Canis lupus familiaris: one gene and its partner. The protein of the gene in region 2 interacts with the protein of the main gene of each other region in a pairwise test. Links are inferred from orthologs where the notes say so. Each region holds a gene or a part of one and is shown on either strand. Other genes may lie near its edges. The genes, in order: SHFL and TNS2.

Region 1 (4,592 bases), on a different chromosome or scaffold from region 2:
TTCTTGCGCACGTTGGAACATGCGGAGGTTGGCTTCTGTCAGTGGCAGGAGGGACGTCGCCACGGCCTTCGGGATAGGGACAAGAGGGTGGTCACGCCTCCTCCGCTAATATGAACACGCGTAAGTCTCCTCTCCTGCTGCTATAATGTCTCTCCTCGTCCATGGACACCATCCACTCTCCCCAAGGATGTCCTCCTCACTCCACCTCCCCCCATCCCATACCCCGGACTCACCTGGATGTCCTGGTCCTGCTTCATGTCCTCCGGTGGGTCCTGGGTGGAAACATCAGGGGCAGGAACTGCGGGTGCAGCTCAGACCTCTTTTTACCATTATTTGTTGGGGGTGAGGCTCCTGGACGAGGAGGGAGGCAGGGTCCTGGCCCCATATGAGTAGGGAGTCCCTAACTCAGGAAGGGCTGTCTGAGCAGGGCCTGCCTGTAGATGGCCAGGTACACGACCTCAGTTGTCCTCACAGTGGAGGGCACACCTATTATCCCCACCGCTCAGACAAAGAAACTGAGGCAGAGCTGGGAGAGGGGTGGCCGGAGATCACCCTGAATGAGAATGGCAGAAGAGGCCTGGATCCCCGCGCTCCCTCCCTGCTGGTAAATGCCACACACTTGGTGGCACTGTGAGGGGTCACCTCTTTGAGTCCATGCCGCTTTAGGCTAAGGGCTTGGGCTCTGGATTCAGACAGACACAGGTTCCCATCCGACTCCAGCACTTCCCGCTGCGAGGGCGGAGCCAAATCACTCCCCCTGCATCCCTAATGAGGGGCATCTCAGAGCGCAGCTATGGTTCTAGGTGGAAACGGCTTAAATGCCACCTGCTTGGCCTGCTTGGCGAGTGCCTTCAGGTTGGAATTGGAGGCAACACGCGGAAAGCCTGCTGCTGGGGAGTGCTCACTTTCCTATAATTTTTTACTTTTATTTTTAATTTGTTTATTATTATTTTTTAAAGGATTTTATTTATTTATTCATGAAAGACACAGAGAGAGAAAGGCAGAGACGTAGGCAGAGGGAGAAGCAGGCTCCAGGCAGGGAGCCCGATGTAGGATTCGATCCTGAGACCAAGGATCACGCCCTGAGCCAGGGGCAGGTGCTCAACCGCTGAGCCACCCAGGCGTCCCTCCTATAATTTTTTAAAGAATTATTTTCAGTAGGCTCCACACCTGATGTGGGGCTTGAACTCACGACCCTGAGATCAAGAGTAGCATGCTCCCCAGACTGAGCCAGCTAGGCGCCCCTCCTATTACCTTTATCATACCCTTTACACATGTAAATATAAATAACTCAATATGTACCTTATTATACTCTTCAGCAACTATGGGGGGGGCCTTATAGGAAGATGAAATGCACAGTGCACTGGCCACCAAAGTCATTTAAGGTGTAAAGTAGCCATGTTGCATTTGTGCCTCAAAGCCATTCATTCATCATATGGGCTCCCCTGCCCTCTCTCCTCCCCCATCTCATGTTTATCTTAGCCTGTCTTGCGTGTTCTTTTGCTCACTCTGTTCCCTCTTCCAGGAAGACTGTTTCCAACTCCCCCACCACCCAGGATCCCTTCTCCCCAGCATCAAAGCTGGCACCACCTCTTCCAGGAAGCCTTTCCCGACTGACCTCCAGGGGTCCTCTGTAATGACATCAGTCCTGATTCATTTCACCGCCCAATTTCACGATTCTCTCCCCCACTTAATACCACCAACATGTAATGAGTGCCGACAGTTTGCAGGCTCCCGGGTCAGACGCATGACTAAAAGGTGACTAAGTCAATGTGGATCATGAACTAGGAACTGGTGGTGCACAGATGGGGCTCATCATGGATACACCAGGTTCCTTCCGTTCCCGGTCCCCAGCTACCCCATCCTTGGAGGGCAAGAGGGGCAGTTTACCTGGGCATCCAGGTCATTACTCAGTTCCTGTCCATCTTTCTGCTTTACCCCTGGTGGCAAGAGTTAAGTGTAAGTAAAAGGTCCTTGAAGGATCTTCTGGGAGTTTCAGGGTCCCCAGAACCCCAATATAGACCCTCCCCAGAAGATGAGCGCGGCGCTTCTTCACACAGACCACACCTCCCTCGCGCGCTCCCCCCTCCTCTCCCCTACCAGGGCCGGGACCCCAGCCGGCTCACCGTACACGATGGAGCGCCCCACTCCGGTGTGGTCGCTGCCAAATTTCCTCATCAGAGTCCCCGCCTTCTTGGAGGATACCTTCCCATGAAACTTCTCCCGGAGGCGCCGGACGCTTTTCTCCAGCTGGGGTGGGCACAGGGGGGTTCCGATCGGGGAAGGAGAGGGGCGACTTGCCCTCCTCCATCTCTAGGCATCCTTCTCCCCGCCCGAACTTGACCCTTGCTTTTGGCCTCCCCCACCATCCCTCTACGGCATTTCCTGGGAGAAGCCAAAGTCCCCACCGGGCATTGGGGGAGGGAGCGGAGTGGGGCGAGCGCCCCCGGCTAGGGGAGGAGGCCGGCCAGGTAACCTGGCCTCTGACCCTTGACCCTGCAGCCCCCCTTTTCCTCGAGGAGGCCGCATCTCACTCTGGGGGGCCGGGGCGGTCATTATCCTTTCCGAGGGGGGGCGAGTGCCCGCCAGGGGTAAGGTCTGGGCTTCGGATGGAGTCCCCAGAACTGCGAAGCCCCCTCGGCGCCCCCGGCGCCTCTCGGGGGCCCCCGGCCCAGGCGCAGGCATCTCCTACCTCCACACCTTCTTGAGACATGGTGGCGGCGGCGGCGGCGCGGGTTCCGCGAGGGGCCGCACTGCGCGCTCGGAGCCCCCCTACCTGGGCGCGCCCGGGTCCAGCAGCCGCGCAGGGCAGGGGGCGGGGCCTCCGGGCGGCTCCGCCCTTCCTTCTCGGCCCCCTCTTTCGCTTTCGATTGCTGGGGGTGACGGCGTGGACGGGGCGCTCTGGCTCCGCCCCGGCTCCGCCTCTGCCCTCGCGCCCCAGGCCCCGCGGGCGCCGGGGGTCTGCACCCTGCGGCGGAGCGCGCGGGCCTCGGGCGGTGGAGGCGGCGCGGCCTCTGCAGTCGGTCACATGTCCCCACGCTGCGCGGGGTCCGCGTCTTCACGTCCCTCGTGGGGGCGGGGCCGCATCGCAAGGCCGCCGCGAATCTCCGGGCCCCCCCCAGCTCGCGCTTCCCCACTTCATCGCTCTCGCAGCTCCCCTCCCTCGGGACCTGGGGCCCCTCCTCGCTCTGAGGCTCTTCCGCGGCTACGTCCGGACCTGTCTGCACCTCAGTTTACTCCTCTGTAAAATGGGGATGATAACAGCGGCTACATCGTGGCTGGGTGTGATTGCCAGGATTCGAGACCCGGGGTGGAGCGCTTAGTAGCACCTGGCATGGGGTAGCCTAACGAGTCACTAAGCCGCCTACTGTGTGCCACAGCTGGAGGTAGTTGGGCGAAGGAGGAGATGCTTGTTGGATAAATAGAGGTCACTGGTGCCTAGCAGTCCAGCAACAGCCTGTAGTCCAGGGGTGCCTGGGAATCTGCACTGTAAATCGGAAGGTTGAGAATCCTCTGGGCCAGCACAATTTTTTTTTTCCCCTGAAATAGGCTCCACACCCAAGGTGGGGCTTGAACTCGTGACCCTGAGATCAAGAGTCACATGCTCCACCCACTGAACCAGCCAGAGGCCCCTATTACATAAAGCTATTCTTTAACACACACGCACACACACACACCAAAAGAAACGGAGATGAAAAAGTATAGATGTTCTAATGTTTTCTACTTGACCTCCAAAGCTTTGTTTGTGGGTCTGTGTGCCCCGTCTGGAGCCTATTAATGAGTGTAAACAGTTCATGGTTCTTTGTGACTGAATGTGGAATTTCAGGCTGAGAGCCAGGCCTGTAGCTGCATAGAGGACCTGGGATTTTATACTGAGGGAGGTGGGGAGGTGTGGAGGGGCTCTCTTGTTATACACGTATCTGTGATATATAGTACATAATCTCCACTTACCAGTGAGGAGAAGGAGGTCGCAGCCAGGGTGGGTGACAAGCAGGGAGGAAACAGGTGGGAAACTGATCCAGCTCCGACATGAACCAGATCTGCTAGATTCTTTCTTTCTTTCTTTCTTTCTTTCTTTCTTTCTTTCTTTCTTTCTTTCTTTCTTTCTTTCTTTCTTTCTTTCTTTCTTTCTTTCTTTCTTTCTTTTCTTTCTTTCTTTCTTCTTTCTTTTTTTCTTTTTTTTCTTTTTTAGAGAGAGGCAGTGAGCCTTTGAACAGGGGGAGAGGGGAGAGGGTGAGGGAGAGAGAGAATCTTAAGCAGGTTCCACACCCAGTGTGAGCCCGAAGTGGGCTAGATCTCACAACCTGGAGATCACATCCTAAGATGCAACCAAGAGTTGGGATGTTTAACTGACAGAGCCACCCAGGCATCCCCAGATCTGCTAGATGCTCACGATGATGGCCATCATATCGAGCTCTGACTCTGCGCCAGGCACCATTCCAGGCACTGAGCATCGAACTGTCTCATATAGTTTTTTGTGGATTAGGAATTTAGGGATGCTTTTGCTGGGCTTTCTGGCCCAGGGTCTCTCATAAATATTGTGGTCAAGATGTTGGCCAGGGCTGCAGTCACCTGAATGTTTGAGGCTGGAG
Region 2 (3,799 bases):
GAGGGGATTAAAGCCATTAAGCTGAGCCCCCCCCAATCCCCCCCAAACTGCCCCCCCCAAGCCCCTGCAGCCTCATTAATAGTAGCGATTGGCATCCACCTCGTTCTTACGCACTTTCCCGGATGACTTGCTCCCCGAGACACTCCAAAGCATGGCGCAGCAGGTACCAACCCATGTGCCAGCGAGCAAGTGTGAGGCTCTCCTGGAGGACCAAGAGCCCCTTGACCCTGGCCCCGACTGACCCTACACCCGCTCCCTCTTCCAGCCCCACCCGTCTCTCTCCGGTCGCGGCCCCCACCCTCAGTTGTACCCCCACACCCGCCCAGGTCCAGGACTTCGGCTGGCCCGAGCTGCACGCGCCCCCCCTGGACAAGCTGTGTTCCATCTGCAAAGCCATGGAGACGTGGCTCAGTGCTGACCCACAGCACGTGGTCGTACTGTACTGCAAGGTGGGCTGGGACCTCGGGTTCACGGGGCTGGGGTGCCCTGAGCCTGGGGCGCCGGCTGGCCCTCCATTCCCCTCTCTCTCTCTCTCCCCCTGTCCTCAGGGGAGCAAGGGCAAGCTCGGCGTCATCGTCTCCGCCTACATGCACTACAGCAAGATCTCTGCAGGGTGAGGCTCCCTGGCCCCTGACCGGCCCCTTCCCCAGTGACCCTGTCTCCAGCTGCCGGTGATGGGCCCATCCCCCTTGAAGCCCCCCTTTGTGTTTGGAGAGCCGTTTCCTATAAACTTGGCCTTTCCACCTCCTTTTTTCACTTGTATCTCACCACAGTTCCCAGCAGAGGATTTGTATCAGGTTCCCAGAGCTGCTGTAACAAAATGTCACAGACTGACTCAGTGGCTTAAGACAACAGGAACTAGTTGTCTCCCTGGAGACTAGGAGTCTAAAACCGAGAGGCCGGCAGGGCCGCGCTCCCGCTGAGACCCCGAGCAGGACCCTTCCTTGCCCCTGTCTAGCTTCTGGTGGTGACCAGCAGTGCTTGGCGCTCCTCGGCTTGCCGCTGCGTCCCTCCAGCCTCCGCCGCGGTCATCACGTGGCTTTCTTCCTGTGTGTGTGTCTGTGTCTGTCTGTCTCTTCTCTTCTTCTAAGGGCACCCATCATAGTGGATTAAGGGCTCATCCCTACTCCAGTATAACATCTTAATTAATTCCATCTGCAACGACCCTATTTCCAAATAAGGTCACGTTCTGAGGTACATATCTTTTGGGGAGACACAGTTCAACCCATAACATGGTCTCATCACCCCCGTTTTACAGAGGAGGAAACTAAAAACTCAGGGAACACTTGCCTGAGGTCCAGCGAGTAGTCAAGTGACTGTATGTGGGGCTTCTAGTTCTTTCCACCTCCACCCCGGGGCTTCCTCTAGAGTTAGGGGATCACACATCTCCTCCCTCCCCTGGGGCTTGGGGTTGGGAGGCCTGGACAGATACCAGCCCCTAATCCCCCACACTTGGCCCTGCGGTCCCCAGGGCAGACCAGGCGCTGGCCACGCTTACCATGAGGAAGTTCTGCGAGGACAAGGTGGCCGCGGAGCTGCAGCCCTCCCAGCGCCGGTGAGCAGCCGGGGTGGGGCTGGGCCACCGGAGCAGCGCGGGCCCCGAGGCCGAGGGTCGCTCGTAGGAGCAGCACACCCGCGGGACACAGGGCCTGCGCTGAGAACTCAGGCCCAACACGGTCCCTGCTCTCACGGAGCTTGTGGGAAAGACAGACTTGCAGGACAGTCGGAGCCCACCTCGTCATGGGAAGCAGAGGGCTGGGGGGAAGAGCAGGCTAGGCGGGGGAGCCAGCAACTACAGACCTTTGAGACGGCAGAGGGTTGAGGTTAGATGTGAGGAAGAACTTTCCAGTGAGCCGGGAGACGGGAGGGGCGTGCTGAGAAGGGCCGGCCTTCCAAGGCTGGGCAGGGGTGTGCTTAGTAGAGATGAAACAGAGGGACCTCCAGGGGCGAGGCTTACGTCCCCCCCTCCTGCCCCCGACCCCCGCAGGTACATCAGCTACTTCAGCGGCCTGCTGTCCGGCTCCATCAGAATGAACAGCAGCCCCCTCTTCCTGCACTACGTGCTCGTGCCCGTGCTGCCAGCCTTTGAGCCCGGCACCGGTGAGTGTGCCCCGAGGCGCCCCGCGGGGAGGCCTGTCCTCCAGCCCCTCCGCTGAGCGCCCCTCCGCGCCCTCTCCCGCCTGCCCCTCCAGGCTTCCAGCCCTTCCTCAAGATCTACCAGTCCATGCAGCTGGTCTACACCTCGGGAATCTAGTGAGTGCTCTGCTCCCGGCCTTCCTGCCCTTCCAGCCTCCCCAGGCGCCCCCGCCTCCAGCTCCGGCCACTGCACCTGGTGCACCAGGAGGGAGAGGCTGATGCTGAGCAAGCTGGAGGCGTCTCACTGGGGCTCAGACCCCAGGCTCGCGGCTCCCTCCTGACGCCCCACACCCCCGCCGCCACCCCAGCCCCACTGCCTCCCATTCAGCCTCTGTCCCGTCCCTCTCCTCCTCAGTCACATCGCCGGCCCCGGGCCGCAGCAGCTCTGCATCAGCCTGGAGCCGGCCCTCCTCCTCAAGGGCGATGTCATGGTGAGGGGGCCATCCTGGGGAGGGGGTGCATGGGGGGGCGAACGCGCCAGCTGCACGGTCTCCCGTGAGTCATCCAGAGGCCCACTGGCCGGCGGAGAGCCCGTCCCCAGCGAGGGCATCGCCTTGAGCTGAGGCAGGGCAGAGCCGCAGCCTGACAGTCCCCAGGACGGAAGCACAGAGGGGACGCCAGCGGACAGGAAGGCCTGACCCCCGGTCTCCCTTCCCTCATCCAGGTGACCTGCTATCACAAGGGTGGCCGGGGGACAGACCGGACCCTTGTGTTTCGAGTCCAGTTCCACACGTGCACCATCCACGGACCACGGCTCACTTTCCCCAAGGACCAGCTGGACGAGGCCTGGGCTGGTGAGTGGGAGACAGGTGTGGGGCTGGAGCCCGGGGAGGGGGCGGCCAGGGGACCTGGCTCCTCACCGTGTCCCCCGCCTCCCCTCCCAGATGAGAGGTTCCCATTCCAAGCCTCCGTGGAGTTCGTCTTCTCCTCCAGCCCTGAAAAGGTCAAAGGTGAGAGCCAGCCCCGGTCGGGCCTACAAGTCGGGGCTGCAGGTCGGGGCTGCAGGTGACACCCCGGCCCTCAACACCTGGGTGGCCCTTCCGCAGGCAGCACCCCACGGAATGACCCTTCGGTCTCCGTTGACTACAACACCGCAGAGCCCGCCGTGCGCTGGGACTCCTACGAGCACTTCAATCAGCACCACGAGGACAGCGTGGACGGTGCGGGGCCGGCCCGGCCGCCCACTCCCTCCCTCCCCGCCGCAGACGCCCCTGAGCTGGAGCCTCCGGCAGGCCCCGACATTCACTCCCTCCCTGGTCCTCTCCCGCCAGGCTCCCCCACCCACACCCGGGGACCTCTGGATGGCAGTCCCTACGCCCAGGTGCAGCGGGCCCCCCGCCAGACCCCGCCGGCACCCTCCCCGGAGCCACCTCCGCCCCCCATGCTCTCCGTCAGCAGCGACTCCGGCCACTCGTCCACGCTGACCGCCGAGCCGGCCGCCGAGTCCCCTGGCCGGCCTCCCCCGACGGCCGCCGAGCGCCAGGAGCTGGACCGCCTCCTGGGGGGCTGCGGGGTGGCCGGGCCGGGCCGGGGCGCCGGGCGGGAGACGGCCATCCTGGACGACGAGGAGCAGCCCCCCGCGGCCGCGGGCCCGCCGCTCGGAGTGTACTCGGGCCGCAGGCCCGGCCTCAGCCGCCACTGCTCCTGCCGCCAGGGCTACCGG

Evidence for each region.
Region 1: the proteins of TNS2 (region 2) and SHFL interact in binary tests that used the Homo sapiens proteins (3 or more experiments, as listed by UniProt). The link is inferred for Canis lupus familiaris from reciprocal best matches to the Homo sapiens genes TNS2 and SHFL.

What each region holds. Positions count from the first base shown.
Region 1 is NC_049241.1:51,360,865-51,365,456, forward strand, and holds the start of SHFL (shiftless antiviral inhibitor of ribosomal frameshifting protein), read right to left. Parts: upstream 2,844-4,592; 5' UTR 2,714-2,843; coding exon 2,693-2,713; intron 2,251-2,692; coding exon 2,127-2,250; intron 1,941-2,126; coding exon 1,891-1,940; intron 273-1,890; coding exon 234-272; intron 67-233; coding exon 1-66.
Region 2 is NC_049248.1:44,543,340-44,547,138, forward strand, and holds part of TNS2 (tensin-2), read left to right. Parts: intron 1-326; coding exon 327-449; intron 450-548; coding exon 549-613; intron 614-1,091; exon of another isoform or gene 1,092-1,194; intron 1,195-1,471; coding exon 1,472-1,555; intron 1,556-1,987; coding exon 1,988-2,100; intron 2,101-2,192; coding exon 2,193-2,253; intron 2,254-2,491; coding exon 2,492-2,567; intron 2,568-2,800; coding exon 2,801-2,930; intron 2,931-3,020; coding exon 3,021-3,086; intron 3,087-3,182; coding exon 3,183-3,296; intron 3,297-3,407; coding exon 3,408-3,799. UniProt on the Homo sapiens protein: Tyrosine-protein phosphatase which regulates cell motility, proliferation and muscle-response to insulin. Phosphatase activity is mediated by binding to phosphatidylinositol-3,4,5-triphosphate (PtdIns(3,4,5)P3) via the SH2 domain.